Linked DNA regions of Struthio camelus. The protein of the gene in region 1 purifies or fractionates together with the protein of each later gene. This does not show direct contact. Links are inferred from orthologs where the notes say so. Each region holds a gene or a part of one and is shown on either strand. Other genes may lie near its edges.

Evidence for each region.
Region 2: the proteins of UQCRB (region 1) and COX6B1 purify together in Homo sapiens (affinity purification with mass spectrometry; 3 studies listed by BioGRID and IntAct, counting the BioPlex papers as one, with this or other methods). This does not show direct contact. The link is inferred for Struthio camelus from reciprocal best matches to the Homo sapiens genes UQCRB and COX6B1.

Annotation. Positions count from the first base shown.
Region 1 is NC_090943.1:148,239,845-148,254,856, reverse strand, and holds UQCRB (cytochrome b-c1 complex subunit 7), read right to left. Parts: upstream 6,788-15,012; 5' UTR 6,776-6,787; coding exon 6,646-6,775; intron 5,305-6,645; coding exon 5,233-5,304; intron 3,959-5,232; coding exon 3,792-3,958; intron 2,772-3,791; coding exon 2,694-2,771; 3' UTR 2,528-2,693; downstream 1-2,527. Other genes in the region: MTERF3 (transcription termination factor 3, mitochondrial), read right to left, coding at 9,029-9,223, 11,427-11,588, 14,313-14,384. UniProt on the Homo sapiens protein: Component of the ubiquinol-cytochrome c oxidoreductase, a multisubunit transmembrane complex that is part of the mitochondrial electron transport chain which drives oxidative phosphorylation.
Region 2 is NC_090974.1:159,116-174,295, reverse strand, and holds COX6B1 (cytochrome c oxidase subunit 6B1), read right to left. Parts: upstream 7,088-15,180; 5' UTR 6,897-7,087; intron 5,234-6,896; 5' UTR 5,232-5,233; coding exon 5,126-5,231; intron 2,793-5,125; coding exon 2,692-2,792; intron 496-2,691; coding exon 442-495; 3' UTR 276-441; downstream 1-275. Other genes in the region: FBL (rRNA 2'-O-methyltransferase fibrillarin), read left to right, coding at 8,463-8,472, 9,716-9,790, 11,112-11,270, 11,769-11,863, 12,989-13,159, 13,836-13,968, 14,936-15,048. UniProt on the Homo sapiens protein: Component of the cytochrome c oxidase, the last enzyme in the mitochondrial electron transport chain which drives oxidative phosphorylation.

The DNA.
Region 1 (15,012 bases):
ACAATTTTTCAGATGAGCTCATTGCTGCCTGTCCTAGATCATTCAAAGAGCAGCACATAGCCTACACAATGAATACAACAGGATCCTACAGATACTGGCACAAGAGAAACAGAAGTGTTAAAAAGAAATTGTACATCTGGAATTCCCTAATTTTTGCAAGCCCATTCCTTTCCATCCCAAATATTTTTTTTTAGGAAAAAGATTAAAGATTCAAAACAGGAATCACACTGACCCTCCAATTAGTCACCAGCAGAATTCAGACCTTTCTTATAACTAACAGTGTTTCAACCAGCTACAGAATAACGGGAGTAGCTTAATGCGCATACAGGGTGACAAGAGAGGATGAAATATGAAATGCCTTCGAAAAGTTTTTCCAGCTATTAGCCTGTAACAGAAGCATTCAAACCTCACATCAAGTTCTAGAGAAGAGTTTACAGTCTGTAACACAAAGCTATCACAGCTCGCAGTTTCCAGGTCATCAGGATCCCTCTCTTACACCTCCTTGCCTAAATACCTCAAAGAATACCAAAAACACATTTTCCTCTCTAATGTTCTAATGTTCTGAGAAACAGTCTAATAGTTTTCACCACAGATTTTCACCATGCTTCAACAGGAGACTACTGTGCATTATATAAGCTTAAAGTTAAAACTGATCCAGTCAAAGTCAGAAGCATCTGAAAACGTCTAAATGGAAGCTGTCAAACAATCTTAACTGTGGCAAACAGGTCAGCTTCTGATACTCTTTCCCTCCACCCCACAAACTGTTATACAGAGCACTTGAAAAGCTTAGTTCTATATTTTATTAACTTCTATTTGCCTCTGACTCTCACAATGTTAAATTTGAGAACAAATAGGTCAGTGATTTCAGGTCAGAGTGTCCTTTCAAAAATGTCAGGCTATTTCAAAGCGTCTGATGCCAGCAAAACCCTTTTATCTAACCCAAGATATTTTTGAAAAAATCTTTGAACCACATTAAACTTAATCCAAACTTGTAGTCAAATAAGCAGATGCTATCTTTCTGCAAAATCCTACCTTTTACAGAAGTCTGGCAGCGATACTTTCAAATGCTTAAGAAATTCCAAGCCCATGTCCATTAGATAGTATTCTAATTTTCTAAGAGATAACAAAGTAGTTCTAATTCCATTAGGAAATGAAGTATTCTAATAATTCTATACATGAGAAGTGTGAAATGTTCAGGTCCTATTTGTCTCAGGAAAAAGTATATTAGAAAGCTCTTGACACTAAATCTGCATACGAAAACTCTAGCATGTTTCAATTGCAAGATTCTGCTATAACCTTAACAAAGCAAGAAAAAAGGATTTTCTCAAGTTTGCAAGAAACTGTAGGTGATGAAAGCAACTTCATAGTCTTAATGCAGTTTCCTCTACATTTGTTAAGGAATATTAGCAATGCAGATATTTTTGCAGTATTTTGTTTTATCACACTAGGCTATCAAATTTGAAATAAACATTTCAACTAGGTACCACTCTACTCATTCTCCAGATGTAAGCAAGCATGAAGCAAGTAGATAAAGGTTAGAAACATTCTTTTAGCTTTGATAATGACTGTTCCTATTCTAACTTCTAACCCAGAACGCTATCTGATCATACCTTTGAACTACGGACTTGGTTTGCTCCATATTTATATAATTGTATTTTAACTGCTTTGGCTTTTTATCTATGCATTATTGCATTTGGCAGACAAGCACGCATAACATCCCCCTCTCCCCAAAAAAGAAACTTGTAACTATCACACAAGATTGTGGCCTGACATTTTCAACTGCGTGTGGCACCAAAGGCTGTCTCAAAACTACCATTAAACTATGGAAGACTCTAAACTCAAGATCTTCAGCCAACAATGGCTAATACTTCCTAGATATAACTAAATTGCTTCTGTGTTTAAGCAGAGACTGAATTCCGTGTCCATCTCTAATGGCATTAAGCCTGTTACCTTGACAGTTTAAAATACTTCAAGCCAATCATTATAAACAACAACATGCTTTAGGCTAGGAAAAAGATATCCAAAGTTTATTAATTATACTGTAGAAAGGGTACCAACATACCACTTTCACCCTTTAAAAGGTTAGATTGTCTCAAGAACCTGAGGTGAGACAGTCAGCATTTATATGAGAATACACTTTTAGAGCATTAACAAGGTACATGGTGCAAAAAGGTAGTGAAATACTTCCTCATTTTGTGATTAAGAAACGATTTATACTTTCCACTACTACATTTTATCTGCTTAGATCCACAGAATACGACATGCTGCTGTTTCATGATGCCACCGTAACCTCAATTCCAGTATTCTTGCCTCCATGGAGAAGAGGTGGTAAAGGAAATAAGCAACCCCTTTATAAGCAACAGATGAGCTAGCATCAGCAGCCTTGGCTGTTTCTTACCTATCCTGCCAGCTGCAGGAAACAGCTGTACTATGAAAAGAGTATGAATCAAGAAGTTGGAATGAAGACTGCATACCACTATGGTATGGTAACACTAGCTTGTTAACATTTACCAAGAAGTCTTCCAAGTAGATTTTATACTTTGACACATTTATTTTACTTGGATGAACAGATTCAATGAACAAGCAGAAACATGTATTCCTTAAGCCTCATATTTGCCTCCAGTAGACTTCTTCTATAACCACCTTTAAAAATATCAGAAAGAAGTGGACATTCACATGGAGTAGTTCAATAGTCATTTCTTGTTCCATGCTTCTCTTTCGAGTCGTTCACGGATTACTTCTTTTAGGTATGGTTCAAGATAACGCTTATCCTGAAAAAAAAAAAAAAAAATTAAACTTATAGGGACGGCCAGAAACAACTAAAATTCATGCAGACTACTTCCCTCACATTTCTCCTCAGATTTGAGGAAAAAAAAACCCAAACCAAACCCTCCACACACTGCTCACTGTGAAAAGATAAACTTAACACATTTGCAATTGTTGCAAATAGCAGCGTAGTAACTGCTAACTCCTATTGCCTCATGAACGTTAACAAGCAGTGATGCTTTCAGCTGTACCTTTAGAAATAATGTTCTCTTGTCAAATATCCCAAGTACGAGGTTGAGGAGTCTCATTAAAGTGCAACGCCAAGCTAAGTGACAGCCAGAGTCAAATTACTAAACCCACAAAATAAATAAATGCATCTGAATTAGGAAAGATTCTAAGATGCGGAAATGTACATGATCCACTTTATTCAGCTCAAAGTCCAACAAAAATACTCTTTGCACTGAAGAATTTTTTCCTCAACTTTAGCTCTAAACACCACTTCAAACAGATTCAACAGAACTCAGCTGCATTAAACACTCATAAATCAAACTGCTGCTCAAGTAACTTAGGCAATCAGTTGACCAATGCAGCAGTTACCAAAACATTACCAAGGTTTTCCTTCAAGTTATTATTCCTTTGCATTTTTAAGAATAAAAGCTTTGGCTCAAGATTTTCTATAAAATTAAGATGCTCATCAGAAAAGCAAGAGACGTTTTTTAAGAATTTCTAAGCCAGTTACAGCAGATTACCTTACCTGACAATGCAGAAAAAATATTTCATCTGAATACAAACTGAAGCGCTAAGACTCTGATCTGTAGTTTAAGCCTTTGTCATGTTGAGCAAAGTGTTATAAAGGGATCTTCCATTGCAAAATACACGTTTTTAAACGGGGATCAAAAGTTCTGATTTTCAAAGGTATCCTATTAGACACGGACTGCAATATTTACTCATTATGAATAATATGCAAGTATACACCTCCACCACATAGAAAATCCTGAAGACTCGGAAACACTCTGTGCACATACCTCTTCATATTTCACCCACTGTTCCTTTGGAAGGATCTGATGTTTCAGACTTAAGTCAAGTGCTCGCTTCATGCGAAATATTCTCTCATTGTAAAGAGGCTCTGGAAGCCTCTTGAGTGCTTCTTTTACATCGTCATCTTCGTACAACACATCATCTCGCATTAACCCTGTATTGGCAAGATTTTACAACATCATTGAATAAATATCACTAATTAAGATTTACGATTAACATAGGTTAAACATAACACTAGAATCACACCTAAAATGCAAGCACAGACCAATGCAAGAGAAGAGAATTAGTATTTGCTCACAGAGAACAAACTGTAAGCACTGACTTGCATGTACATGATTCACTTGGTGATGCTCTCTCTCAAAAATGAACAGGAAAAATGGATATTTGATTCTATGTGTTACACTGGAGTACTCAGAATACATATAGAAAAGCAGCTAGCCTGGATATGAAGGGTGGACTTACAGTCAACAAATTTTAGATCCCTGTATTTAAGATGACTGTCTAGGTTTAGGATTTAAAAGCACTAATTATATTATAGTCACTCAAGTAGCTGTGACTACTTTAGCATCAAAGAACTGTTCTCTAAACTCCACCGTGCATATGGACTAGATCTCCACCAGCTATAACTAGCTAGGGATGCCTGAAGTTAGATGCCTCTGACTAAGCTTATTTTCCTACCAAAAGTGAATACAGGGAGAATAATTTGGTCTCCTCAAAGCCAAAAATAGACCCACATTGTTTTTGGAGCAAACGATTTCTGGAATTCAATCAACTCTGCTATAAGTTTCAGCATGAACAACACAAAAGAAAAAAAAAAAAGCTTGTTCTGCTTCTGTAACGTTCCAAGATAAATGCAGATTATAAGTACGTGTACTGGTTCACGGATAAAGGTTTTGATTTTGATCTTATGTGACTGAGCTAGCAATAGTCTCTGATTAAAGAGACCTTTCTTGTTTGTTTTAAGAGCCACATATGCTTGAATTCAGTTTTGTAAAAAAAAAAAAAAAAAAAAAAAAAAGTATAAGGACAGTTGCTAGTTTAATCTTCAGGTTTTTAATCACAGTCATAGAAAAGCAGCAAGTAGTACTAATATCTTCAAGAATTTCAGCAGGCAGGAAAGAAGAGGGCCTAAATCAAGTCCTGGTGAGACAATGACAGGGTAAACTTAGGCAGAAAAAAATGAAAAACCCAGTTTCCCTGGGACACAAAAAAAGAAAACCAAAAAAACCAGAAAAAAAGAGTCAGTGATTCATTACTAGATAGCAATCGCAAGGACTGAAGCTATTGCTAACTTTTTTCTACAGACAAAAATAGTAATTAACTTTGATAAACAATACCTATGTCAAATGAGCATATGTGTACCAGTAACGAATTAAAGCTAGATTGTGAGACTTTTTGCTTAGGAACACATGCAGAAACAATACCTACCAAGCTTATTGAATCCAGCCGCATTGTAATACCACTTACGAATGCTTTCTAACAGGCGGCCACCTCCTGAAACTGAAAGCGACTGTTATTAGTCCAAGAGCAAGACAGAACTTAACATTTACACGTTACCCTAACAGCATGTCAATGCTCGCTGACTTCCTTCACATGCAGTAACGCAACATTACGTCAAGTTTGCACTATGTCATGTACGATTTGGCTTCTCTGCTTTTCCGTGTTCTTAAATTGACACTGAACATTGAGAACGAGCACCAGTAAATACAAAAATCCCAACCTCTCTTTTTGCACAATTTGACTATTAGACTGTTCTAAGACTTGGAACAATGCTAACAGCCCAGAATCAAAGACAGCAACAATTACTTTAGGATCCATAAGTTTCACCTGGGCTAAGAACATAATGCCTTACAGAAAGCGAAGTCACAGTGCTTTTCAAATCAATTATCTATAGCTACAAGTTTTATAGCTCTCGCTGTGGGTTGGTATGATGTCATGGCCAGCACAGTAACGTTGTTAGCCTTCTGTCCCCCTTCCTACTACTTGAATAATATTCTAGTGCCTATATCTTCAAGGCCTCCCAAAGTAACTGCAAAGTCAACATGGAGAACCTCAACAAAAAAAAAAATTGTTCTAAAGAAAAAGACCACACCAGTAGCACAGTAGTCTTTTCTAAGCCATGAATTCTGGGTAGAAGAGGACAGAGCAAAGCTACAAATCCTTGACAGTGAAGTTCTCTTCAGTATCAAATACCACTGAAGTAATTCAGTTAGTTTGCCTATCTAGAAATCCAGAAACTGAACAACGGAGCAATATGGTGCAAGCTGCTTTTTATGCTTTTGAGTCAGCTGTCTTATTAAGTTACCCCAAAGGAGCAGTGCTACATGTGACCCCAGCATGTCACTGGTACATTACTTCATCAGGACTTGTCCTTCATACTGTTAATGCCTGAGCAGCAATGATATTGAACACCCTAAGCCCGAAGGCAGCCCTTCGGCCTGACACCGGTTCCCGAAGCCCTCCGCTGAGCTGCAGGCGCTAGCAAGGGCTCCCCTGCTCCCAGGCACCCTGCGCCCCGGCGTCCTTGGGAAGCCGCACCGGGGGAAAGCCCACGGCGGAGCCAGCCTCGCCCTCCCCGGCGGAGGCTCCGACTGTCGGGTCGCCGCTCGGGACGGGCGGGAAGGAAGCCGGCCCGCAAGGGCCAGGCCGGGCCGGGGCACGACAGCCTCCCGCCCGCTGCGGGCGCCGACAGCGCAACTCCCCGCGCCCAGAGCCCGCCGGCTCCCGGTAAGGCCCCCGCGGCTCCCCCAGCGGCAGCGGCGGCGGCGGCGAGGGGAGCCCCACGCCGCGGGCCCCACGGGCGCGCCCCACGAGCCTGACCCCGGCCCACCAACGCCTCACCCGGTGCCCTCGCCGCCATCTTGACCTCGGAGGCGCGCGCTGCCTGCTGGGTAACGCCGCGGCGTCCCCAGGCGCGAAGGGCGGGGCAGGACGCACCTGTGCCGCCAATGGCGGCTCGGCGCTTGCGCATGCGCCCCAAGTGAAGGGCGGGGCCTCCCCTGCTCCCGCCCCCGGCTCCAGGCCGGCGGAGGCGTGGCGGCGGCGGCGGCGGTCCGGGGCGCAAAGGGGGTGCTCGGGACCGCTGCGCCAAGCGGGCTCCAGCGCCTGCGCGTAGCCTTGCCGCCGAGGCACAGGACCGGGCGCACCGAAGGTTATCCAAGGCCCCAGACTCGCCAAATCCCACAGCGCAAATCGGAGCGGAGTCAGGCGAGAAACGGCACTGGAGAGAAGCCGCAGACACAACGGGCAAGTGCCCCTGTAGCGAGTGCTCTGCAAACTCATTTAGGCAGCTGAATTTGATAAGCAGGCAAACAGTACACTTCAGAGACTGCAAGTATCTGCCATATGGTATCCAGCAAGCCTCAATTACTCAACATACCCAACTTAATCATAAGCTTCTAGCCCTTATCAAGAACAACAGACTAGAATACTTTGGAAATTCTAGGCCAAACCTTTCTTCTGAAGACTTTTTTAATCTTGAAGCCAAAAAATATTTGGTATGATTTCCAACAAGCTCTTCTATCCTCTCTCCCTTTTCTTTTAGCATATCCATAAATTTTTTTGTTTCCTTTCTTCATAGTATTTCTGGGAAACTATTTTGGCAAAAGCTCATGCATTCAAAATTCCAAGGAGACTGGTTAGTTTTGACAGTAATCATGTTTGTGTTTAAACATATTAAAGGAATTAAAAGCTCAACATTTAGGACATTGAAAATTTTATATGTAATTACAGTTTAAATTATAATGCCTTGTCACATGGCGACAAAGTAGCGATGAGGACAGAGGGGTAGATCTGAAAAAAGAAAAGGAAACTGTCTTTACTTTGGCATTATGAACGCATAGGTTCTGCTATAAAAATTAGTTTGTTAGATGGTTTGAAGGTTATAGCTTATTAGGCTTAACCTGCCCTTTGCTTTAATAAGGTCAACAATCTAAGAAAGCATCTTGAATTAGATTTAGCATACTTCTTATCTGAAAGCGAGGCTGGGAAAGTGTTTAGCCGTCACATTTTGGGCCACCACTTGAGATGAAATTTGTTATATATCTCCACCAAGAACGTTATGCTTTCAAAAAAAAAAAAAAACCCACCCAAAATATTTTCATTAAATAAGCTTAAATCCAAATGAAAACATCTGGATTTAAGTTTCCTGAACTATTTTAACCAAAAGAATGGAAACTTTAAACAATAAACTATTAAGACAGTTTGCCTTCAGATTTAGTCATTTTTTTCACTTTACCCAAATATATTGCGAAGCATTTCATAATTCTACATTATTTGTTGATAGCATTAACTACTTTTAATACTCGTACAATTCCTAATGTTACCATCTACTTCCGTTATAACTGAGCAAGATAACAGTTATCAACTACATATATACTACAGCTGCTTTTTGTATGGTTGCTTGTATATTGAAGCCATACAAATCACATCAGGGATGGGGCAAAACTACCTTTTTCCTTCCCCTCCCAGAGGCAGAGGGGAAAGTGTGTTATAAAAGTAAAACTAAACATGTCCCTGAAATCTTGAGGGAGGGTTTTTTTTTTTTTTGGCCTATATTCAGTTTGCTGATTTTTGTTTATATTTCAAACTAAGTTTGATTGTACAGCTTTTAGGATATTAACTTCAGCAACTAGCCTCAAAAAGAAGCACCCTTCTTGTAAGCTATTGTAAAACACCACTTTGTATGAGGGGCTTCATGTATGTAGTTGTGTACTTCTCTCTACAAGGAAAAGAAAAGAATTACATTATTAGCTGCTGCGATTAGAACAAGTGATCACTCCACTTCTTTGCTGTTGCACTGGCTAGTTATTCTAATTCTTGGAGGGTGGTGGGCTGAGGAGATGAAGAGGAAGAGGCAGAGAAGTCAGTCACTGGTCAGTTTTTCCCTTTCCCAAAGCTCTGAAGTTATTGAAAAAGAAAGGTAGAAGAATTTGCTTTAATTTACTTTTCTGCCAGTGCATCATTCATTCTGAATTAGATAATAGCAATTAATTACAAGGATTACAATCAATAGCAATCAACATATATTTGCTTAATCCTTGTGAAATACACTTGAAGTCACCATAAAGAACGTTACTCTTAGCCTTTACGCACCACAAATGTTTCACAAGCAACAACTTCTTAAACCAGTAATTAAGAAGCTAAGAGACCATAAAAGGGAGTAGGTTTACAAAATATGTTTATTTCTTAACTTTACGTTATTCCTTTTTACATGTGTTACTAATTAAAGTGTTTTTAAGAATTTTTCAAAGTCCTGTATTGAGGCTTTAGCAATCTCTGTACAGAACACCTCATCAGGCAAGGATACTAGCTGGTCAAGAGAGATGTAGCTGGGTTGCGCTGGGTCATACTGGGCTCTTCCCAAGAACGTAAGAAACGAATGTCTCTCTTTGATTCGTAGAAGTTTTGAGTTGAAAACCTAAGAAAGAAAGAAAAGGGAGACGCTTTTAGGGGGTCTAAATTTCAGAATATGATGAATCTAAAACACAGCAATTTATAGACAACCTAAGTTTTAGCAAGAAAATAAATGATTTAGAACTTTTGCCCTCATTTAGGCCAAATATCAGAAAGAGGTTAGAATTTAAATCATATTATATTGAAACAAGAGAAATCAGGGAGTGATAAAACTGTTGAGCATGACAGCTTATAGGCTGATAGTTACACGCATTACTTTTGGGTAATCACAGCCAAGAAAGTGGAAAGGAGACATTCAGATACAGGGAGCAGGAATGCCTAAGCATTTTGCATATACAGGTGGAAACACTTCCTTATACAGTCTCTGTACAGATTCAGATTGGGATTGTTATGGAGAGGAAATTGCACTGTATTACATAACACAAAACAGTGAAGCACATAGTGGCAACAGAGAAAGTGAGTGGCTGCATCTCTTTCATAACACAGCCAAAAGGCACTGTTCACTGATTCAGAACAGCCACTGATCTTCTGCACAGCAGTGCTTACCCTTGAAGGCATTTGTCATGAAGAGAACTGCAGTCAAAGGTAAGAACAATGACAAGGAAACCATGGAAGAAATCAGTGGGATACATCTGAAAGGAGAGAGACGTGGGGAAGACAACAGGGAAGTAGGCTGCAGGTGCATCATAGATGCATAGTAAGAAACCTTAAAAGCAGAGATCTAGCTCTGCAGTACAACTAAAGAGAGAAGTTGCTTTAAGAGCCGATTATAATGACAACAAGAATTGTGAAGGGAGTGAAAGTGAGCAAAGTTCTTAGTAAAAAGGGAAGACTGCAGTATTGAGGGAAGGACTATTGAGGACGCACACAATGCCTTGCTTGCACTTTAAGGGAGAGTCAGAAGAGGGGCAAGGGGCAGGGGAATAAAAATAAATAAATAAATCAGACTGACCACTGCTTATGGACTTGACTAGGAAGGATGATCAGCAGCTGCAGCAGCAGAGAAGATGTGACAAAAAAAAAGTCCTGAGTGCCTCTTATTTTTGGCATTATTGTCATCCAGGCTGGTTGATGGCCAGGCCATATAGCAGACTGAGTTGTGCTAGCCTCTTTGTGAAAGCCACTGGTTTTGAGGATGGAAGGGAAGAGAAGGGAAGAGAGAGAAGGTGTCTGCAGTAAGAATGGGAAATTAAGGCATCTCTCCACTTCCTCTCCAAGCAAAGAGAACAGAAATAATGAGGTGAAGCACCACAAAGACGGAACAGTACAACTGAGAAGGAAAGGAGCAAGGCTTATGGTGATTTACAAGTCAAGGAGGGCAAAAGTGAGACATGGATTGGTACTACAGCAAACATCAGTGTTAAGTAAAGACAGGTATATATCAGATATCAAAGCAATCAAAACCCTGGAGAGCAGTCTTATTTCCCCATATAATACATTGCTTTTTTAGCCAGTTAGATTCCCTGTTAGATTTCCTTTAAGAAGAAAGTTATTCACTACTGAAGTTGTAATGTGTGCTTTTTTTTCCTTGTAAAAGTTACTGGGTGCTATGCAACTGATTGCATGTCAGCACTGGATAAAGTGACTAATGCTTTCAACTTGATTTGCGAGGCAATAACTGTAATGAGAAGACAGAAAAAATGAAGTAGCCATCAATAAGCTCAACTACTTTCATTTCTGTGATTATTTTTAAGCCTTTGCAGTAGCAAGGTCAGTGAGAATCTTACTGCCTCATGGAGAAAACTTCTTTTCTTGCCTTTAAACTGTAAGATATTTTCAGATCTTAGAATGTAGAAAATTTAATTTTTAACCAGGCAAATTCGAAAGAGAAATGTTTATAAATGTGCTGTGTAATACGCTCCATGTTTTCTTTCTTGTCTCTTACCTAGACATAAGGTTTGAAGACGACGAATCCCTAAGCAGGCACTAATCTCTCTTGTATGATTCCAAAAGAGATCAGCATGATTACTCCTGTTAGAAATAAGTATTCACTAGACTGCAGGAGGAGGGAATGAAGAGAACTTCCAAACTGGAATTTATAGCAGTTGGTAGGTTGCTAAAAAAAGTTATCCAAATTAAAGTAACAGCCAGACAAGATGAAGAATTCATGTCTGTCCTGCACATAGCAAGGCTCCTCCTTTGGCACCAAACTAGTAAAGCAATTAGGCAAAGAGCACCTACATTTTATCCCCAGATTAACAGCTCACCTGAGGAAATTGAGTAAGCATGTGGTGGGGAATGCCCATTATATTGTGTAGGTAGTCAAACGTCCGCCTGAGCCTCTTTTTGCTTGCAGTTAAAATCTTGGGGGTTTTAAACACAATATGTTGAATTTCATTACGCTGAAAACCAAGTTCAATCTGACATACCTGAGAAAGAACACAATTTTATCTTCAAAAGTCAACTACAGCAAACTTAATTTTTTTTTCCCAACTAACCTAACACAAAATTCTTCTACCCTTTGTCACTCAGCAACATGAGTACAATCCACAATAGTATCTGTGACTCCAATTCTCTGAAGCAGAGAGTGAAAGCTGCTTATCACTCTGGGTGAAAGTATAGTTTGTTTGTAAAATATCCCTTAAGTAAAGATAATTTCTCTGAATGCTATCTATTTTTCAGTTTGTCTGATATATGAACAAAAAAGCTATGTCTTTGTATGCAGGGCAGTTACAAGCATAAGACTTCTCCCCAAAGAATCTTTGTTAATACTTCTGTTAATGTGCTATTTCTCTTCTAATATATTCAAGTGATATCTGTTTTACTAAGGAGCATGATTTCAATCCAGCAATTTTTAGACATGAAGTCCATTTAATTGGAAAGAGACATGCAGAATACCTGGTATATTCAGTCTACTTTACAGTCGGTTAAGGCCTGAAGTAAGATGTCTTGTTCAGAAACTGCCCTGACTTCAATTACAGTTTCCCAAAAGGAAAATATAACACATTTTTTCAATAAAATCATGGGTACTCCTCCCAAAGGGCAGGATGGCAAGCAGTTCGTTGAGTTGCAGAGAAAGGAATTTAGCATACAAGAGTGTCTGTCTGGTAGTTCATCCATTTATTCTTTCCTCCAGTGACATTTACAAGCAGCTTATTTTTAGTTATCAGGCCAACGTGCTCACAGTCAACATAACCAGACTTTCAAATCCAGCTCAGGTGCTTCTACAGTTGGCAAGAAGGTGGTACATTTTGTTTGCCCGCTTTGATCTGCCAAGACCAAAGCTCTTTTCTTAGACTGCCTGGCAAACGCGAAGGGAAGGGTTTGGTATCAGGGTTTTGAAGCTGCCTTAGGACTTTCAGGCCTGGACAGGCACTTGTTTCTAGAGATTACTATATTCAGGTCTCTCAGCTACTGCTTATTCCCTATCTGCTTTACAAATATTTGCCTATCACAAAAAACATTAACAAACAGATAACATTGGAGTATAAAGAGATGTGTGCACGTAGCGGTGTTTTTCACAGATTTGAATTGGGAGGCATAACTTGCTACACTGAAAACAAAGACTAAGACCTGATGTTAAATCAGTAGAGATGTATAGCTGGCCCGACTGTACACTTAATTGTGGCAAGTCTCTTGAGCTTTCCACTTGCCTGAATTTCCGCTCTGTGAAACAGGACAACAATAATTCTCTCAACTGACATGGAGCTCAAGTGCAAATCCCCTTGATTATTCTCAATTTGACTTCAAATTATTTATGTTCAGCAACTCCCCAGACTGTGTATATTGATATCCTTACTGTGTACACCCTAGCAATGTTCAGCGTGCTCTGCATGATTCCCAGCAAAGGCAATGATAATGCAAATTTTCCAATTCTACTTTATCAGTGGATCTCTGATTGGACTTGATGAGACCTCTAAAGGATGGAACAACCCATTCCTGAGCTCATTTACTTCATGACTGGTATCTTTTGATAACCAGTATCAGTTGTAGCAGTTATTTCTAAATGGTAACAGCCCACTTGGAACAAGGGATGCCACCAGATCACTTTGGAATTGCTGTTATATGGTTTCACTTGCAGAGTGCCACTTTTCCACCGCCAACCTAGGACATACAGGACAGAATCCTGATCAAGTCTGAGACATTCAACTTCCAGAAAAACTGGAGCTTCTGAGTATCAGTAGATTCCAACAGTGAGGACCTAAAAATCCTTCCCCTCGCTCCATAACATTTGTTTAAAATAAGAATGGTACGCTATATACTTTTGACAGTTGGACAAGATAGTCGCACAGAACTCAGGGTCTTAAAAACACATTCATTATAATATACTGAATCCCCAGCCTGTGGAAATAACGTTCATTAAAAAGAAAGCACAATTAATTGGAACAGCCTGCTACTTTCCAGTCTCCTCCCTTACCACACACACATTCCAGATTTTAAGACTCCCAGTGCTTAATAGTTTCAGAACAGTAAGTCTGTCTGCAAATTATATATTTTAATTCATAGTTACATATTATAGGATAATGGGATTTCTCAATTTGTTACACTGCATCATGCTCTTTGGCCTAGCTGGCTTTAAAGCACAATAATTAAAGCAATACACAGTTACATTTTCAAAGGGAAAAGGAGTCCCTGTGGGTTTGAAGTTATTTACCCAACAGTTGTTAATAACGACCATCTGCTATCAGATAATAGGTGTCAAATGCACATTTTGGCAGACTAGCTACCTGCCAAGAGAAAAATAATCAGCTGCACATTTCTTGCTCCTAAATCCTCACAGACAATCCAAGTTAGCAAACAACACAAGAATAATAATAAAGGGAGGGAACAGGCCCTATTTTTCGCTCGTTGTAAAGAAACGGGTAGCCATTTGTGTCAACACACACCAACTTTCAGCAGAAAGTGGCCCAAATGACGTTTCTAACCTACATCAGACTAAATGATAGAATAAGATATTGTTCCATGTATGCTGCAAGCTTGCTGTAAGCTTCCTACAGAGGAAGAGAACTGGTTTGATAAAGTGCTCAAAGTTATTTTACATCTTCACTAAATTATTTCTTTATATACAGGATTTTCCTACAAGGAGTTTTACCTTCTGTTGACTCAAACTGTGTGGGTACGCTTTTTTTTTTAACATCTACTAATAAGCTCACCTGAATATTTTCTTTTACAGGCTCTAATTTGCCAGTCAGTAGCCTTGGAAGACGAATTACCAGATCCTTTGTCTGCGATTAGAAAAAATAAAACATACAAGGAAAACAAGATCATTAGTGAAGCATGTCTGTGAATCAGTCTCTGAAACAAAGATACAGATTTCACATTAACATTTTTTTTCCTGAATTCTAATTCTAGTTGGAAAAGAACTTTCTCTTGCATTTCATTTTATCTCTAGCCCAAAGATGAGTTCGTATGAAGCAGCAATCTGATAAGAAGCAAAAAGTTACTCAAATGTCATGTTCCATTTGGAGAGAGGGGGGGAAAAAAAAAAACATAGCTAATGAAAAACAGATGGGAAGAGGGAGTAAAAGCATACCCCAAATGCAGAAAGCATACTGAAGTGCCTACTGTTTCTCAGTGCTTAGGGTTGTTTCTTCCCATCTCTTTAAAAAAAGTAAAGAAAGTACTACCTGATAGAAGTGGCAAAAAGATTTTTTTTTATTGCAGTACTTTATTTCTCTACCTCAGGTTTGGTTACGCAATAATATTATGGTAGCATAAGAAACTACCCCACATCTGCTAAACCCCAGGAGTACTCGAAGTCCACCATGACTACAAGGCAGCGACTAAACACTTTACCAGAGCAGTCTCTTACCGCAAGCCTGAAAAAGTCCAACTAATAGAAGAATACAAGAT
Region 2 (15,180 bases), on another chromosome or scaffold:
CCATAGAGCATCTCGGGGACCCAAGCGTCTGGGATCCAGCCCCATAGAGCACCCCGGGGGACCCAGGCGTCCGGGTGGGGGGGAGTCGTCCCCCTCCCTCCCCCCCCGTGACGACTGTTTTAATAAAGCTTCTGGCTCCGCCCACAAGAGTCTGTCATCGCTCCATTCCCCCCTCCCCCCCGCCAAGGGGACCCAGGCGTCCGGGGGTCCCCTGTTCCCCACCAAGGGACCCAGGCGTCCGGGTCCCTCCCAGCAAAACTGAGACGTATCCGGGGCCAGTTTAACCCTTTATTAGCAGTGTCACCGCCCACAATGACGGCTGTATCCCCTCCCCCCCCGCCAGTGACAACCATGTCACCCCCCCCTCGGGGCTGGTGACGCCCGTGTCACCTCCCGGTGATGGCTCAGTCACCCGTTGCGACACCTCCGGGTCGGGGACGCTCAGATCTTGCCAGGGAAGGTCCCCTCCTCACGATACTCGTCCCACGTTGTCACCTGTGGGGCGACACCGGGGGGGGGGTCGTCACAGGGGCCATGGTGTCATCACGAGGGACATGCTAACACCATGGGGGACACCATGAGGGTCACAGTGACATTGTGAGGGATGCAGAGACACCACGGGGAACACCATGAGGGTCTCAGGGACCACGGGGACATCATGGGGGCATGGTAACACCATAGATGACACCACAAGGGTCACAGGGACTGCAGTGGCATCATGAGGGACATGGTGGCACTGAGGGAGACAACGAGGGTCACAGGGATCACAGTGAGATCACGAGGGACACGGTGACCGCATGGGGGACACCACGAGGGTCACAAGGATCGCAGTGATGCCACGTGGGACACAGTGACGTCAGAGGAAAGACAAGGAGCACAGTGACATCATGGGGGGGCGTAGAAAGCACAGGGACCTCGTGGGGAACACGGTGACACCATGGGGGATATGGGGGTTGCAGTGACATCATGGGAGACACCATGAGAGACCCAGGGACCACGGTGATGTCATGGGGGACATGGTGACACCATGAGCATCACAGGGACTGCAGTAATGCCATGGGCAACATGGTGGCACCAGAGGGAACACAGGGACATCATGGGGGACCCGGGAGCAGCAGGGATGCTGCACTGACACCATGAGAGACGTGAGGACACCATGGGGGGTCATGGGGGTGGTGGGGACACACCAGTGGCACCATGTGGGACCTGAGATTTCTGTGGGGACAGCACAGTGATGCTAAGGGGGACAGAGGGACACCATAAGGGACCTGCAGGTGGCAGGGACACCGTGGTGACACTGTGAGGGAGCTGGAGGTGGCAGGGACATCATGGTGACACTGTGGGGGACCTGGGGATGGCATGGGGAACCTGGGGGCAGTGGGGACACCACAATGACACACCATGGGACACAAGGGCAATGGGCACACCACAGGGGACACAGTGGTGGACGTGAGGATGTGACAGAAGACACGGAGATGCTGGGGATGCCATGGTGACACCATGACGGACAAGGGGGCAGCAAGACCCCTGGGGTGACACTGCCAGGGACACAGGGGTGCTGTGGGGATGCCATGGTGGCGCATGAGGGATGCATGGGCAGTGGGGACACCACGGTGACGCCACGGGGGCATTGGAGACACCACGGGGATGCCCCGAGGGCTGTGGGGGCACCATGGAGGTTCTGGGGACAGTGGGGACGCCACAGTGGCACCGTGGGGGACACTGTGGGAGATCTGGGGGCAGCGAGGACACCACAGGGGTGGTGGTGGCACCATGGGAGATCTAGGGGCATTGAGGACGCTACGATGATATCACGGGGGCATGGGGACACCACAGTGACACTGTGGGGGACCCGGTAGCATCAGAGAGACCACAGTGACGCAACGAGGATGCCGCAGTGCAGAGCACCAGGATGGTGACGACGCCACATTGACACCATGGGTGACGTGAGGGCATTGGGGACACCCCAGTGACACCACGAGGGACCTGAGGGCACTGGGGACATCACAGGGGAACGGAGGACATTGAGGACACCACGGTGACACCACGGGGAACCTGAGGGCACTGGGGACATGCTAGTGACACCGCCAGGGACCTCACAGGGAACCTAAGGGCACTGGGGACACCCCAGTGACACCACGAGGGACCTGAGGACACTGGGGACATCACAGGGGAACGGAGGACATTGGGGACACCCCGGTGACACCATGGGGAACCTGAGGGCATTGGGGACATCACAGGGGAACGGAGGACATTGGGGACACCACAGTGACACCATGGGGAACCTGAGGGCATTGGGGACACCCCAGTGACACCATCAGGGAACTGAGGGCATTGGGGACACCATGGTGACACCGTGGGGGACCCGAGGGCATTGGGGACATCACAGGGAACCTGAGGACATTGAGGACACCCCAGTGACACCATCAGGGGACCTGAGGGCACTGGGGACATCATAGGGGAACGGAGGACACTGGGGAAATCCCGGTGACACCGCAGGGGACCTGAGGGCATTGGGGACACCCCGGTGACACCGCAGGGGCATCAAGGAAGCCACGGTGACACCGCGGGGGAACTGAGGCCACGGGGGACGCCGCAGCGACGCCACGGGGAACGTGAGGGCATGGGGGACGCCCCGGTGACACGGCGGGAGCGTTGGGGACACACGGGGACGGGGCAGGTGACACTCACCCAGGAGGTGGGACACAGGGACTTGTAGACGCGGTAGTACCACTGGCAGGGGCTGGCGTCCGCCCCCTTGGCCGCCATCGCCTTCTGGCAGCGGTGGAAATCTGGGGGCGGCGGAGGCGAGGGGGTGTTAAAACGCAGGGGGTTGAGCCCCCAGGGGGCCCAGGCGTCCGGGAAGGGGACCCCGGCCCCTCCCGAGGGGCCCAGGTGGCCGGGAGCACCTTCCGACCCCTTCCAAAGGGCCCAGGTGTCCGGGGAGAGACCATGGCTTTGGGAGCCCCTCTAACCCCCCTCCACAAGGGGCCCAGGCGTCCGGGGGGCCCAGGCGTCCGGGGAGAGACACTTCGGCTTCCGGGAGCCCCTCTAACCCCCCTCCCAAAGGGGCCCAGGCGTCCGGGGGGCCCAGGCGTCCGGGGAGAGACACCTCGGCTTCCAGGAGCCCCTCAAACCCCCCTGCCAAAGGGGCCCAGGCGTCCGGGGAGAGACACCTCGGCTTCCAGGAGCCCCTCTAACCCCCCTCCCAAAGGGGCCCAGGCGTCCGGGGGGCCCAGGCGTCCGGGGAGAGACACCTCGGCTTCCGGGAGCCCCTCTAACGCCCCTCCCAAAGGGGCCCAGGCGTCCGGGGGGCCCAGGCGTCCAGGGAGAGACACCTCGGCTTCCAGGAGCCCCTCAAACCCCCCTCCCAAAGGGGCCCAGGCGTCCGGGGAGAGACACCTCGGCTTCCGGGAGCCCCTCTAACCCCCCTCCCAAAGGGGCCCAGGCGTCCGGGGGGCCCAGGCGTCCAGGGAGAGACACCTCGGCTTCCAGGAGCCCCTCAAACCCCCCTCCCAAAGGGGCCCAGGCGTCCGGGGAGAGACACCTCGGCTTCCGGGAGCCCCTCTAACCCCCCTCCACAAGGGGCCCAGGCGTCCGGGGGGCCCAGGCGTCCGGGGAGAGACACCCCGGCTTCTGGGAGCCCCTCTAACCCCCCTCCACAAGGGGCCCAGGCGTCCGGGGAGACACCCCGGCTTCTGGGAGCCCCTCTAACCCCCCTCCACAAGGGGCCCAGGCATCCGGGGGGGCCCAGGCGTCCGGGGAGAGACACCCCGGCTTCTGGGAGCCCCTCTAACCCCCCTCCCAAAGGGGGCCCAGGCGTCCGGGGAGAGACACCTCGGCTTCCGGGAGCCCCTCTAACCCCCCTCCACAAGGGGCCCAGGCGTCCGGGGGGCCCAGGCGTCCGGGGAGAGACACCCCGGCTTCTGGGAGCCCCTCTAACCCCCCTCCCAAAGGGGGCCCAGGCGTCCGGGGAGAGACACCTCGGCTTCCGGGAGCCCCTCTAACCCCCCTCCCAAAGGGGCCCAGGCGTCCGGGGGGCCCAGGCGTCCGGGGAGAGACACCCCGGCTTCCGGGAGCCCCTCTAACCCCCCTCCACAAGGGGCCCAGGCGTCCGGGGAGAGACACCTCGGCTTCCGGGAGCCCCTCTAACCCCCCTCCCAAAGGGGCCCAGGCGTCCGGGGGGCCCAGGCGTCCGGGGAGAGACACCCCGGCTTCTGGGAGCCCCTCTAACCCCCCTCCCAAAGGGGCCCAGGCGTCCGGGGGGCCCAGGCGTCCGGGGAGAGACACCCCAGTTTCCGGGAGCCCCTCTAACCCCCCTCCCAAAGGGGCCCAGGCGTCCGGGGGGCCCAGGCGTCCGGGGAGAGACACCCCAGTTTCCGGGAGCCCCTCTAACCCCCCTCCCAAAGGGGCCCAGGCGTCCGGGGAGAGACACCTCGGCTTCCGGGAGCCCCTCTAACCCCCCTCCCAAAGGGGCCCAGGCGTCCGGGGGGCCCAGGCGTCCGGGGAGAGACACCTCGGCTTCCAGGAGCCCCTCTAACCCCCCTCCCAAAGGGGCCCAGGCGTCCGGGGGGCCCAGGCGTCCGGGGAGAGACACCTCGGCTTCCGGGAGCCCCTCTAACCCCTCTCCCAAAGGGGCCCAGGCGTCTGGGGGGCCCAGGCGTCCGGGGAGAGACACCTCGGCTTCCAGGAGCCCCTCAAACCCCCCTCCCAAAGGGGCCCAGGCGTCCGGGGAGAGACACCTCGGCTTCCAGGAGCCCCTCAAACCCCCCTCCCAAAGGGGGCCCAGGCGTCCGGGGAGAGACACCTCGGCTTCTGGGAGCCCCTCTAACCCCCCTCCCAAAGGGGCCCAGGCGTCCGGGGGGCCCAGGCGTCCGGGGAGAGACACCTCGGCTTCCAGGAGCCCCTCAAACCCCCCTCCCAAAGGGGCCCAGGCGTCCGGGGCGAAAGGGGGGCCCAGGCGTCCCTACCCACCTAGTTCCGACAGCTGGTTTCGAACCGCTTCCGGGTGCGGAAGCGGCGCCCGCGGAGCCTCCCCCATCCCCAGCGGGGCCCCGGCGTCCGGGCCTCCTGCCCCCCGCCCCCGGAAGGGGCCCAGGCGTCCGAGGGGCCCAGGCGTCCCTACCCACGTAGTTCTGCCAGCAGTTCCTGGTCTGGTTCTGGTTGGGGAAGCGGCTGTCGAACGGCGCCGTCCGGTAGCGCTGCAGCTTGGCCTCGATGTCGTCCGCCATCGCTGCGGGGGGGGGGGGGGGGAACGAGAGCTCGTTAGCGGGGGGTTCGTTAGCGGAGGGGGGTCGTTAGCCGGGGGGGGGCCTTAGCAAGGGGAGCTCGTTAGCGGGGTTCGTTAACGGGGCTTGCAAGCGGCGGCGGGGGGCGTTAGTGGGGTGTGTTAGCAGAGAGGCGGGAGCGGGGTTCGTTATCGGGGGGGACTCGTTAACGGGGTTCGTTAGCAAGGAGATGCCAGCAGGATTCATTAGCGGGGCTCGTTATTGGGGGGCTCATTAACAAGGTTCGTTAGCAAGGAGATGCTAACAGGATTCATTAGCGGGGCTCGTTATTGGGGGGCTCATTAACAAGGTTCGTTAGCAAGGAGATGCTAACAGGATTCATTAGTGGGGCTCGTTATTGGGAGGCTCATTAACAGGGTTCGTTAGCAACGAGATGCTAACAGGGTTCGTTAGTGGGGCTCGTTATTGGGGGGCTCATTAACAGGGTTCGTTAGCAAGGATGATAGCTTCTTATTAGGGTTCGTTAACAAGGGGCATTAGCAGTGGAGGTGCTATCAGGATTCATTAGCAGGGGGTTCATTAGTGGGGGGGCTCGTTAGCAGGTAGTTTATTAGTCGGGGGGGGGCTAATTAGCAACGTTCATTAACTAGGAGGCTCATTAATGGGGTTCGTTAGCAAATAGGTGTTACGGGGCGATTTGTTAGAGGGAGTTCTTGGGGGGGGTCGTTAGCAGGGCTCATTAACAGCGATCGTTAGTGAGGTTTGTTAGCAGGGGGCTCATTAACAGGGTTCATTAGTGGGGGGTTCGCTAAGGGGGGTCGTTAATGGGGTTCGTTAGCGGAGCATGCTAGCAAGCTTCATTCACAGGGGTCGTTAGGAGGCTCGTTAGCAGGGGGGCGCTCGTTAGGGCTGGAGCTAACGGGGGCTCCCCGAAACGCTGCAGGGCTGGAGCTGGGCAGGGAGAGATCCCAGTGCGCCCAGTGCCCTCCCAGTAAGCCTGGGTTCCCCCTCCCCAGTGCTCCCAGTAAGCCTGAGTCACTCCTCCCAGTAAGCCTGGGTTCCTCCTTTCCCAGTCCTCCCAGTAAGCCTGAATCACTGCTCCCAGTAAGACTAAGTCCCCCCCTTCCCAGTGCTCCCAGTAAGCCTGAGTCATTCCTCCCAGTGCTCCCAGTAAGCCTAGGTCCCCCCCTTCCCAGTAAGCCTGAGTCACTCCTCCCAGTAAGCCTGGGTTCCCCCCTCCCCAGTGCTCCCAGTAAGCCTGGGTCCCCCCCTTCCCAGTGCTCCCAGTAAGCCTGGGTTCCCCCCTCCCCAGTGCTCCCAGTAAGCCTGAGTCACTCCTCCCAGTAAGCCTGAGTCACTCCTCCCAGTAAGCCTGAGTCACTCCTCCCAGTAAGCCTGAGTCACTCCTCCCAGTAACACCGAGTCTCCCCCTCCCAGCACTCCCAGTTAGCTGCCCCCCCTTTCCCAGTGCCCCCCCAGTGCTCCCAGTAACCTCACTCCCGCCATTTCCCAGTGCTCCCAGTTCCCCCCCCCCACCGGCCTCCCAGTCCCGCCCTTTCCCAGTGCTCCCAGTAGCCCCGGATCCCCCCGCTTCCCAGCGCTCCCAGCACCCCCCCCGAGCCCTCCCAGTGCTCCCAGTTCCCTCCCAGTGCCCCCCGCCCCCCTCACCGAGTCGCGCCGCTCCCTCAAAGTGACTTTCACCGCCGCCGCCCTCGCACCGGAACCAGCGAGACGTCGCGAAAGCGCAGAGCGGCGCCGGAAGTGGCGCGGTCCCCCCCCACTCTAGCGGCCCTCAAGGGGCGGGGCCACAGAGATGAGGCGGCTAGAGAGGCGGCCGGGCAGGGAGGGGGAGCGGCGAGGAGGACCGCGGCGGCCATAGAGAAGAGGCGGGAGGACAGAGCGGCGCCGGCCGCCGGGGGGGAAGTGGGCGCCGAGAGGGGCCCTAAAAGCCCCCTCCCCCGGGGACCCCCAAATCCCCCATTCCTACCCCAAAACTCCTTCCAGTACCCCCCAGACCCCCCAAATCCCCCATTTCTGTCCCAAAACACCTCCCAAGACCCCCCAGAACCCCCCAGATCCCCCATTTCTGTCCCAAAATACCTCCTAGGACCCCCCCAGAACCCCCAAATCCCCCACTCCTGCCCCAAAATACCTCTCAGAACCCCCAAATCCCCCTTTTCTGCCCCAAAACACCTCCCAGGACCCCCCAGAACCCCCATTTCTGCCCCAAAACACCTCCCAGGACCCCCTAGGACCCCCAAATCCCCCAATCTTGCCCCAAAATACCTCCTAGGAACCCCCAGAACCTCCATTGGTGCCCAAAACCACATCCTAGATCCCCCCAGAACCCCCCAAATCCCCCTTTTCTGCCCCAAAATACCTCCCAGGACCCCCCAGATCCCCCATTTCTGCCCCAAAACACCTCCCAGGACCCCCCAGAACCCCCATTTCTGCCCCAAAATACCCCCCAGGACCCCCAAATCCCCCATTTCTGCCCCAAAACACCTCCCAGGACCCCCCAGAACCCCCATTTCTGCCCCAGAATACCCCCCAGGACCCCCAAATCCCCCATTTCTGCCCAAAAATACCTCCCAGGACCCCCCAGAACCCCCCAGATCCCCCATTTCTGCCCCAAAACACCTCCCAGGACCCCCCAGAACCCCCATTTCTGCCCCAAAATACCCCCCAGGACCCCCAAATCCCCCATTTCTGCCCCAAAACACCTCCCAGGACCCCCAAATCCCCCATTTCTGCCCCAAAAAACATTCCTAGGATCCCTCAGAACCCCCCAAATCCCCCTTTTCTGCCCCAAAATACCCCCCAGGACCCCCAAATCCCCCATTTCTGCCCCAAAACACCTCCCAGGATCCCCCAGAACTCCCCAAATCCCCCATTTCTGCCCCAAAATACCTCCCAGGACCCCCCAGAAGCACCAAATCCCCCATTTCTGCCCCAGAATACCTCCCAGGACCCCCAAACCCCCCATTTCTGCCCCAAAATACCCCCCAGAGCCACCAACCTCTCCCCCCCCCCCCGTGCCCCCTCCCTCTTTGGGAGCGGTGTGGGCACTTCCGCCCGGCCCCGCGCGGCGTCGGAGGGGGCCGCGGCGCATGCGCGGGACTCCGGAACGGAGGGGGGCGGTGGAGCCGCGCCGTGACGTCAGCGCCGCGCAGGCGCTTCCGGTTCCGGGGCCCCGAGAGCGGCGCGTGCGACCCCGCGTGGAGCAGCGGCGGGATGCGGCCAGGTGGGGGGGGGGGGGAACTGGGAGGGACTGGGGCGACTGGGAGGGACTGGGAGGCACTGAGGGGCATTTAGGAGGGGCTGGGGGCGACTGAGAGGGCCTGGAAGGGACTGAGAGGGCAACTGGGAGGCAACTGGGGAGGACTGGGGGCAACTGGGAGGGAGCAGGGGGCACTGGGAGGGACTGGGAGGGCTCGGAAGCAACTGGGAGGGGGATGGGGAGCCCTGGGAGGGAACTGGGAGACATTGGGAGGGAACTGGGGGGTATTGGGAGGGACTGGGAGAGACTGGGGGCAACTGGGAGAGACTGAGGGCAACTGGGAGAGATTAGGCGGGACAAGGAGGCAACTGGGGGGAGTGGGGGCAACTGGGAGGGAGCTGGGGGCACTGAGAGGGACTGGGAGGGCTCGGAAGCAACTGGGAGGGGGATGGGGAGCCCTGGGAGGGAACTGGGAGACATTGGGAGGGAACTGGGGGGGTACTGGGAGGGACTGGGGATATTGGGAGACCCTAGGATGAGGCTAGAGAGCACTGGGAGGGACTGGGAGAGACTGGGGGCTTTGGGAGAGACTGGGAGGGAGCTGGGGGGGACAGGGAGGCAACTGGGAGGGAGCTGGGGGTACTGGGAGAGACTGGGAGGGAGACCCTAGGATGGGGCTAGAGGACACTGGGAGAGACTGGTGGTGTTGGGAGAGGCTGGAAAGGACTGGTGGGCACTGGGAGGGAACTTGGGGGGGTACTGGAAGGTGCTAGGAGGGAACTAGGGGACACTGGGAGGGGCTGGGGGACACTGGGGGGCACTGGGAGAGGACTGGGGGACTTTGGGAGATGCTGGGAGGGACAGGGAGGCAACTGGGGGACACTGGGAGGAAACTGGGGGGGGGAACTGGGAGAGGTGGGAATGGACTGGGAGATGCTAGGGGGGCTAAGGGGACATTTGAGGGCCTGGGGGCTACTGGGCATACTGGGAGGGACTGGAAGCGATTGGGGGTACTGGGGGGGGGGAATACTGGGAGACAGAAGGAGACTGGGAAGGAAATTAGAGCAACTGGGAGGGAACTGGGCAGACTGGGAGCAAACTGGAGGTGATTGGGGATGCTGGGGGGGGATGCTGGGAGACAGGAGGGGACCGGGAGGGATATAAAGAGACTGGGGGGGAACTGGGCAGACTGGGAGGGAACTGGGGCGGCCTCTGCCTGCTGCCCAGTGCTCCCAGTTGGCCCAGTTTGAGCGCCCGTCTCCGACAGGGTTCAGCCCCCGGGGGGGCCGCGGCGGCGGCTTCGGGGACCGCGGGGGACGCGGCGGCTTCCGGGGGGGCCGAGGTGAGTGTCGCCCCCTCCCAGTACCACCAGTGCTCCCAGTATGACCGGCGCTGCCGGCCCTGGGGACGCCAGAGCCGGGCACGAAGCTCCCCGCACTGTCCCAGTCCGCCCAGTGGGGCTCGGGGCCCCGTCCCAGTCCACCCAGTAGCTGCCCAGTTCCTCTCTGCGTTCATCCCAGTCTGCCCAGTAGCTTTCCCACCCTGTCCCAGTCCGCCCAGCAGCTCCCTTGTCCCCTCCTAGTGCTGCTCCATCCCACCCCAGTCTACCCAGTAGCTCCCCAGTCCCATTCCCAATCTGCCCAGTTCCTCTCTGCTCTCAGTCCAGTCTGCCCAGTAGCTCTCCTGCCCTGTCCCAATCTGCCCAGTAGCTCCCCAGTCCCATTCCCAGTCTGCCCAGTTCCTCTCTGCGTTCATCCTAGTCTGCCCAGTAGCTCTCCTGCCCTGTCCCAGTCTGCCCAGTAGCTCACCGGTCCCATTCCCAGTCTGCCCAGTTGGGCACTAGTTCCATCCCAGTCTGCCTACTTTCTGCTTCTTGCTGTCCCAGTCTGCCCAGTTGCTCCCCCGTCCCTTCCCAGTCTGCTCAGTCACTTCCCCATCCTTTCCCAGTCTGCCCAGTCATTCCCCGGTCCACTCCCAGTCTGCCCAATGGGGCTCCCCCACCCCTTCCCAGTGCACCCAGGAGCTCCACCGCCCCCTCCCAGTCCGCCCAGTTGCTCCCCCATCCCCTCCCAGTTGCTTTCCCATCGTTTCCCAGTCCGCCCAGTGGCTCCCCCATCAGCTCCCAGTCACTCCGCCGTCCCCTCCCAGCCGCTTTCCTGACCCTTCCCAGTCTTCCCAGTCCTCTTGGTCGCTTTCCCGTCCCTTCCCAGTCCACCCAGTGACTTCCCTGTCTCCCTCTCAGTCTTCCCAGTCCGCCCAGTCGCTCCCTCTCCCCTTCCCAGTCCGCCCAGTCGCTCCCTCTCCCCTTCCCAGTCCGCCCAGTCGCTCCCTCTCCCCTTCCCAGTCCGCCCAGTCGCTCCCTCTCCCCTTCCCAGTCCGCCCAGTCGCTCCCTCTCCCCTTCCCAGTCCGCCCAGTCGCTCCCTCTCCCCTTCCCAGTCCGCCCAGTCGCTCCCTCTCCCCTTCCCAGTCCGCCCAGTCGCTCCCTCTCCCCTTCCCAGTCCGCCCAGTGGCTTCCCCATCCCTTCCCAGTCCGCCCAGTCGCTCTCTCTCCCCTTCCCAGTCCACCCAGTGGCTTCCCTATCCCTTCCCAGTCCTCCCAGTCGCTCCCCAGTCCCCGTCCTCGTTAGGGGCCTCGTCAGCGCCGCTGGCCTTGGCCCCGCAGGTGGCGGGTTCAAGTCCCCCGGTGGGGGCGGCCGCGGCGGTTTCGGCGGTGGCCGAGGAAGAGGAGGGCCCGGCCGGGGGGGCCGCGGCGGCGGCCGGGGGGGTCGCGGTGGCTTCAAGGGCGGCAAGAAGGTGACGGTGGAGCCCCATCGGCACGAAGGTACCGGGGGCCCAGGCGTCCGGGCGGGCAGCAGCACGTTTGGGGGAAAAGGGGGCGGTTTGGGGAGGACGGGGGTGGTTTTGGGGGGCGCCGTGGGGCGGTTGGGGGGGCGCCGTGGGGCAGTTGGGGGGGATGGAGGCGGTTGGGGGGGACGGGGGTATTTAGGGGGTGCCGTGGGGCGGTTGGGGGGGGGACGGGGGTGGTTGGGGGGGTGATGGGGACAGTTTAGGGGAGGACGGGGGTATTTAGGGGGCACCATGGGGCAGTTGAGGGGGATGGGGGTGGTTGAGGGGGTGCCGTGGGGCAGTTGGGGGGGACGGGGGTGGTTGAGGGGGTGATGGGGACAGTTTAGGGGAGGACGGGGGTATTTAGGGGGCACCATGGGGCAGTTGGGGATGGATGGGGGTGGTTTAGGTGGTGCCGTGGGGCATTTAGGGGAGATGGGGGTAGTTGGGGGGCACTGTGGGGCAATCGCACCCCCCGGTTTTGCCCCCCCAGGGGTGTTCATCTGCCGGGGGAAGGAGGACGCCCTCGTCACCCGCAACATGGTGCCCGGCGAGTCCGTCTACGGCGAGAAGAGGATCTCCGTGGAGGTGGGGGGCAACTGGGAGGGCACTGGGGGCAACTGGGAAGCACTGGGGTAGGTGTGGGGGGAACTTGGGGGAATGAGGGGCAACTGGGAGGGACTGGGGGCAACTGGGAAGCACTGGAGTAGGTGTAGGGTGTACAGGGAAAGCCTTGGGGGGGTAACTGGGAGGGCACTGGGGGGAGCTGGGAGCAACTGGGAGGCACTTGAGGCTACCGGGAGGGCACTGGGAAGGCAGCAGAAGCAACTGAGAGGGACTGGGGGCAACTGGGAAGCACTGGGGTAGGCATAGGGGGTACTAGGAGTTCTGGGGGCGCTACTGGGAGGCACTGGGGAGAATATGGGGGAATGGGAAGGAACCTGGGGGGCAGCTGGGAGGGCACTGGAGGCAGCTGGGAAGCACTGGGGTAGGTGTAGGAGGCACTGGGAGCAACTGGGAGGAGCTTGGGGCTACCGGGAGGGTGCCGGGAGGCATTTGGAGGGCAACTGAGAGGGACTGGAGGAGGATTTGGGGGCAGGGGAGGGCACTGGGGGCAACTGGGAGGCACTGGGGGAGGACTAGAGGGCACAGGGAGGGCCTTGGAGGGAACTGGGGGGCACCTGAGAGCCACTGGGGAAGGCCTGGGGGCAACTAGGAGGGCCTGGGGGCTACTGGGAGGCACTGGGGGGAGAACTAGGAGCCATGGGGGCAACTGGATGGGCACTGGGGGCAACTGGGAGGACACTGGGGGGGACTAGGGAACACGGAAAAGGATTTGGGGGAGGACTTGGGGGCAACTGGGAGGGACTTGGGGGAAACTGGGAGCTCTGGAAGGGGTCCCTGCGGTGTCCCCTGTCCCCAGGCTGGTGACACCAAGGTTGATTACAATGCCTGGAGCTCCTCAGGCTCCAAACTGGGAGCACTGGGAGGTGGCACTGGGGGGTGTGAAGGTCCTGGGGGTGTCACCACTGGGAGTGACGCGACCTTGGGTATCACTTATCCCTAGAATGGTGACACCAAGCTGGAGTACCAGCACCTGGACCTTCTCGGACTCCAAACTGGAGGCACTGGGAGGTGGCAGTGTGGGGTGTGCAGGTCCTGGGGGTGTCACCGCCGGGGGTGACGGATCCCTGGGGTGTCCCCTGTCCCCAGGACGGTGACACCAAGGTGGAGTACCGCGCCTGGAACCCGTTCCGCTCCAAGCTGGCGGCCGCCATCCTGGGAGGCATCGACCAGATCCACATTCGCCCGGGGGCGAAGGTCCTCTACCTGGGTGCCGCCTCGGGGACGACCGTGTCCCACGTCTCCGACATCGTGGGACCGGTAAGGACCCCCCCGCCGGGGGAGGGGACACAAGAGTCCTGGGTTGAGGGGAAGTGGGGACGAGTTGTGGTCTCCTTGGGAACGTTGATGTGGCGTCCTGGGGCAAGGAGACGTGGGGATGGAGTTGTGATCTCCTTGGGGACATCTGCCTGGTGTTCTGGGGTGAGGGAACGCGGGAATGGGGTTGTGATTCCGTTGGGGACATCTTCATGGCGTTCTGGGGCAAGGGGACCTGGGGATGGGGTTGTGTGCCCCATGGGGACGTCACCATGGGGTCCCAGAGGTGAGGGGATGGGTTGTGATGCCCTTGGAGGCATCTTCATGGTGTCGCAAGGCTGAGGAGACCTGGGGATGGGATTGTGATCTCCTTGGGGACATCTTCATGGTGTCCCAGGGGTGAGGGGACCCAAGGACAGGACTGTGATCGATCCCCTTGGGGACATCCCTGTAACATTTGGGAAGGGGCGACTTGGACCTCCTGAGATTGTCCCTGCAGGTGGCACATTTGTGTCCTCAGAGATGTTTTTGCCCAAGGCTGTCCCCACAGGGGGCAAATCCCTATCCCTGTCTTCACGCTGTCCCGACGGGGGGCAGCTCCACGTCCCCAGGGGTGACCCCCAGGCTCGAGGACCCCGAGGCTGTCCCCGCAAGGGGGGTGACCCTACCTGTCCCGCAGGAGGGACTGGTTTACGCCGTCGAGTTCTCCCATCGCTCCGGCCGCGACCTCATCAACGTGGCCAAGAAACGCACCAACGTCATCCCCGTCATCGAGGACGCCCGGCACCCCCACAAGTACCGCATGCTCATCGGTGAGCCTGGCTGCGGGTGACAGCGTTTTGGGTGTCCTCAGGGTTTTGTGGGGTGTCCTACAGAGTTATTTTGGGGTCTTAGTGTGGCTAGGAGATGATTTTGGAGGTCTTGGGGGCATCTTGGAGGTGCAGGTGATGGGTGTGGGAGCGTCCTATGCCATCTTGGGGAGGTTTCTGGTGTTTTTGTGGGGATCAGGAGGACCTAAGGTGAGTTTGGGGTTATTTTAGGGGTCCTACATAGGTACTTTGGGCCTTAGTGTGTCTAGGGGAGGATTTTGTGGGTCCTGGGGACATCTTAGAGATGCAGGTGGTGGATCTGGAGCTATCTTGGGACACCTGGGAGAGGTTTCTGGGGCTTCCTAAGGGTTGTTTGGGGATTTGGGGGACATAGAAGGGGGCCCAGGATGGGGGTTGGGGGTCTAGGAGAGGTTTTTGTGGGTCTAGGGGTGTCTTGGAAATGTGGGAGGGCATCTGGTGGCATCTCATGCCACCTGGGGGAGCTTTTGGTGGTGTTTTGGAGGTCAAGGAAACCTTAGATGAGTTTGGGATTGTTAGGGAGGTTCTAGAGAGGTGTCTTGGGGTCCCATGGGGTTTAGAAGAGGTTTGGGGGGGGTATTTGGAGCGTCTTGAAGATTTAGAAAGTGGTCTGGGGCCATCTCGGGGTACCTGGGAGAGGTTTGTGTGGGTCCAGTTGGGTGTGTTGGGTTTTGAGGGGCTACAAGAGGGTTTAGGATGAAGATTTGGGGTCTTGAGACAGGTTCGAGGGCATCTTGGTGTCTTGGGAGGTTTCTTGGGAGTGTTTTGTGGGTTAGGGGATGTTTGGGGGACCACAAAGAGGTTTCGGGAGGTCCAGGAGAGGATTTAGGGGGGTTGGGGACATCTCGGGGGGCTGGAGCACAGTGGTGGGAAGTTTTTTGGGGGGGGGGGGGGGTCCCCGGCCCCCTGTCACCTACCTCGTGACACCCAGGCATGGTGGACGTGATCTTTGCGGACGTCGCGCAGCCCGACCAGTCGCGCATCGTGGCCCTCAACGCCCACAACTTCCTGCGCAATGGTGGCCACTTCGTTATCTCCATCAAGGTAACGAGCGGGGCGGGTTGCTGATGGGCCAGTGACAACCAGTAGTGACCCCTGATGGGCCAGTGACAAGCAGAAATGACCAGTTATCAGCCAGTGATAACCACTAATGAGCCAGTGAAAACCAGTGATGAC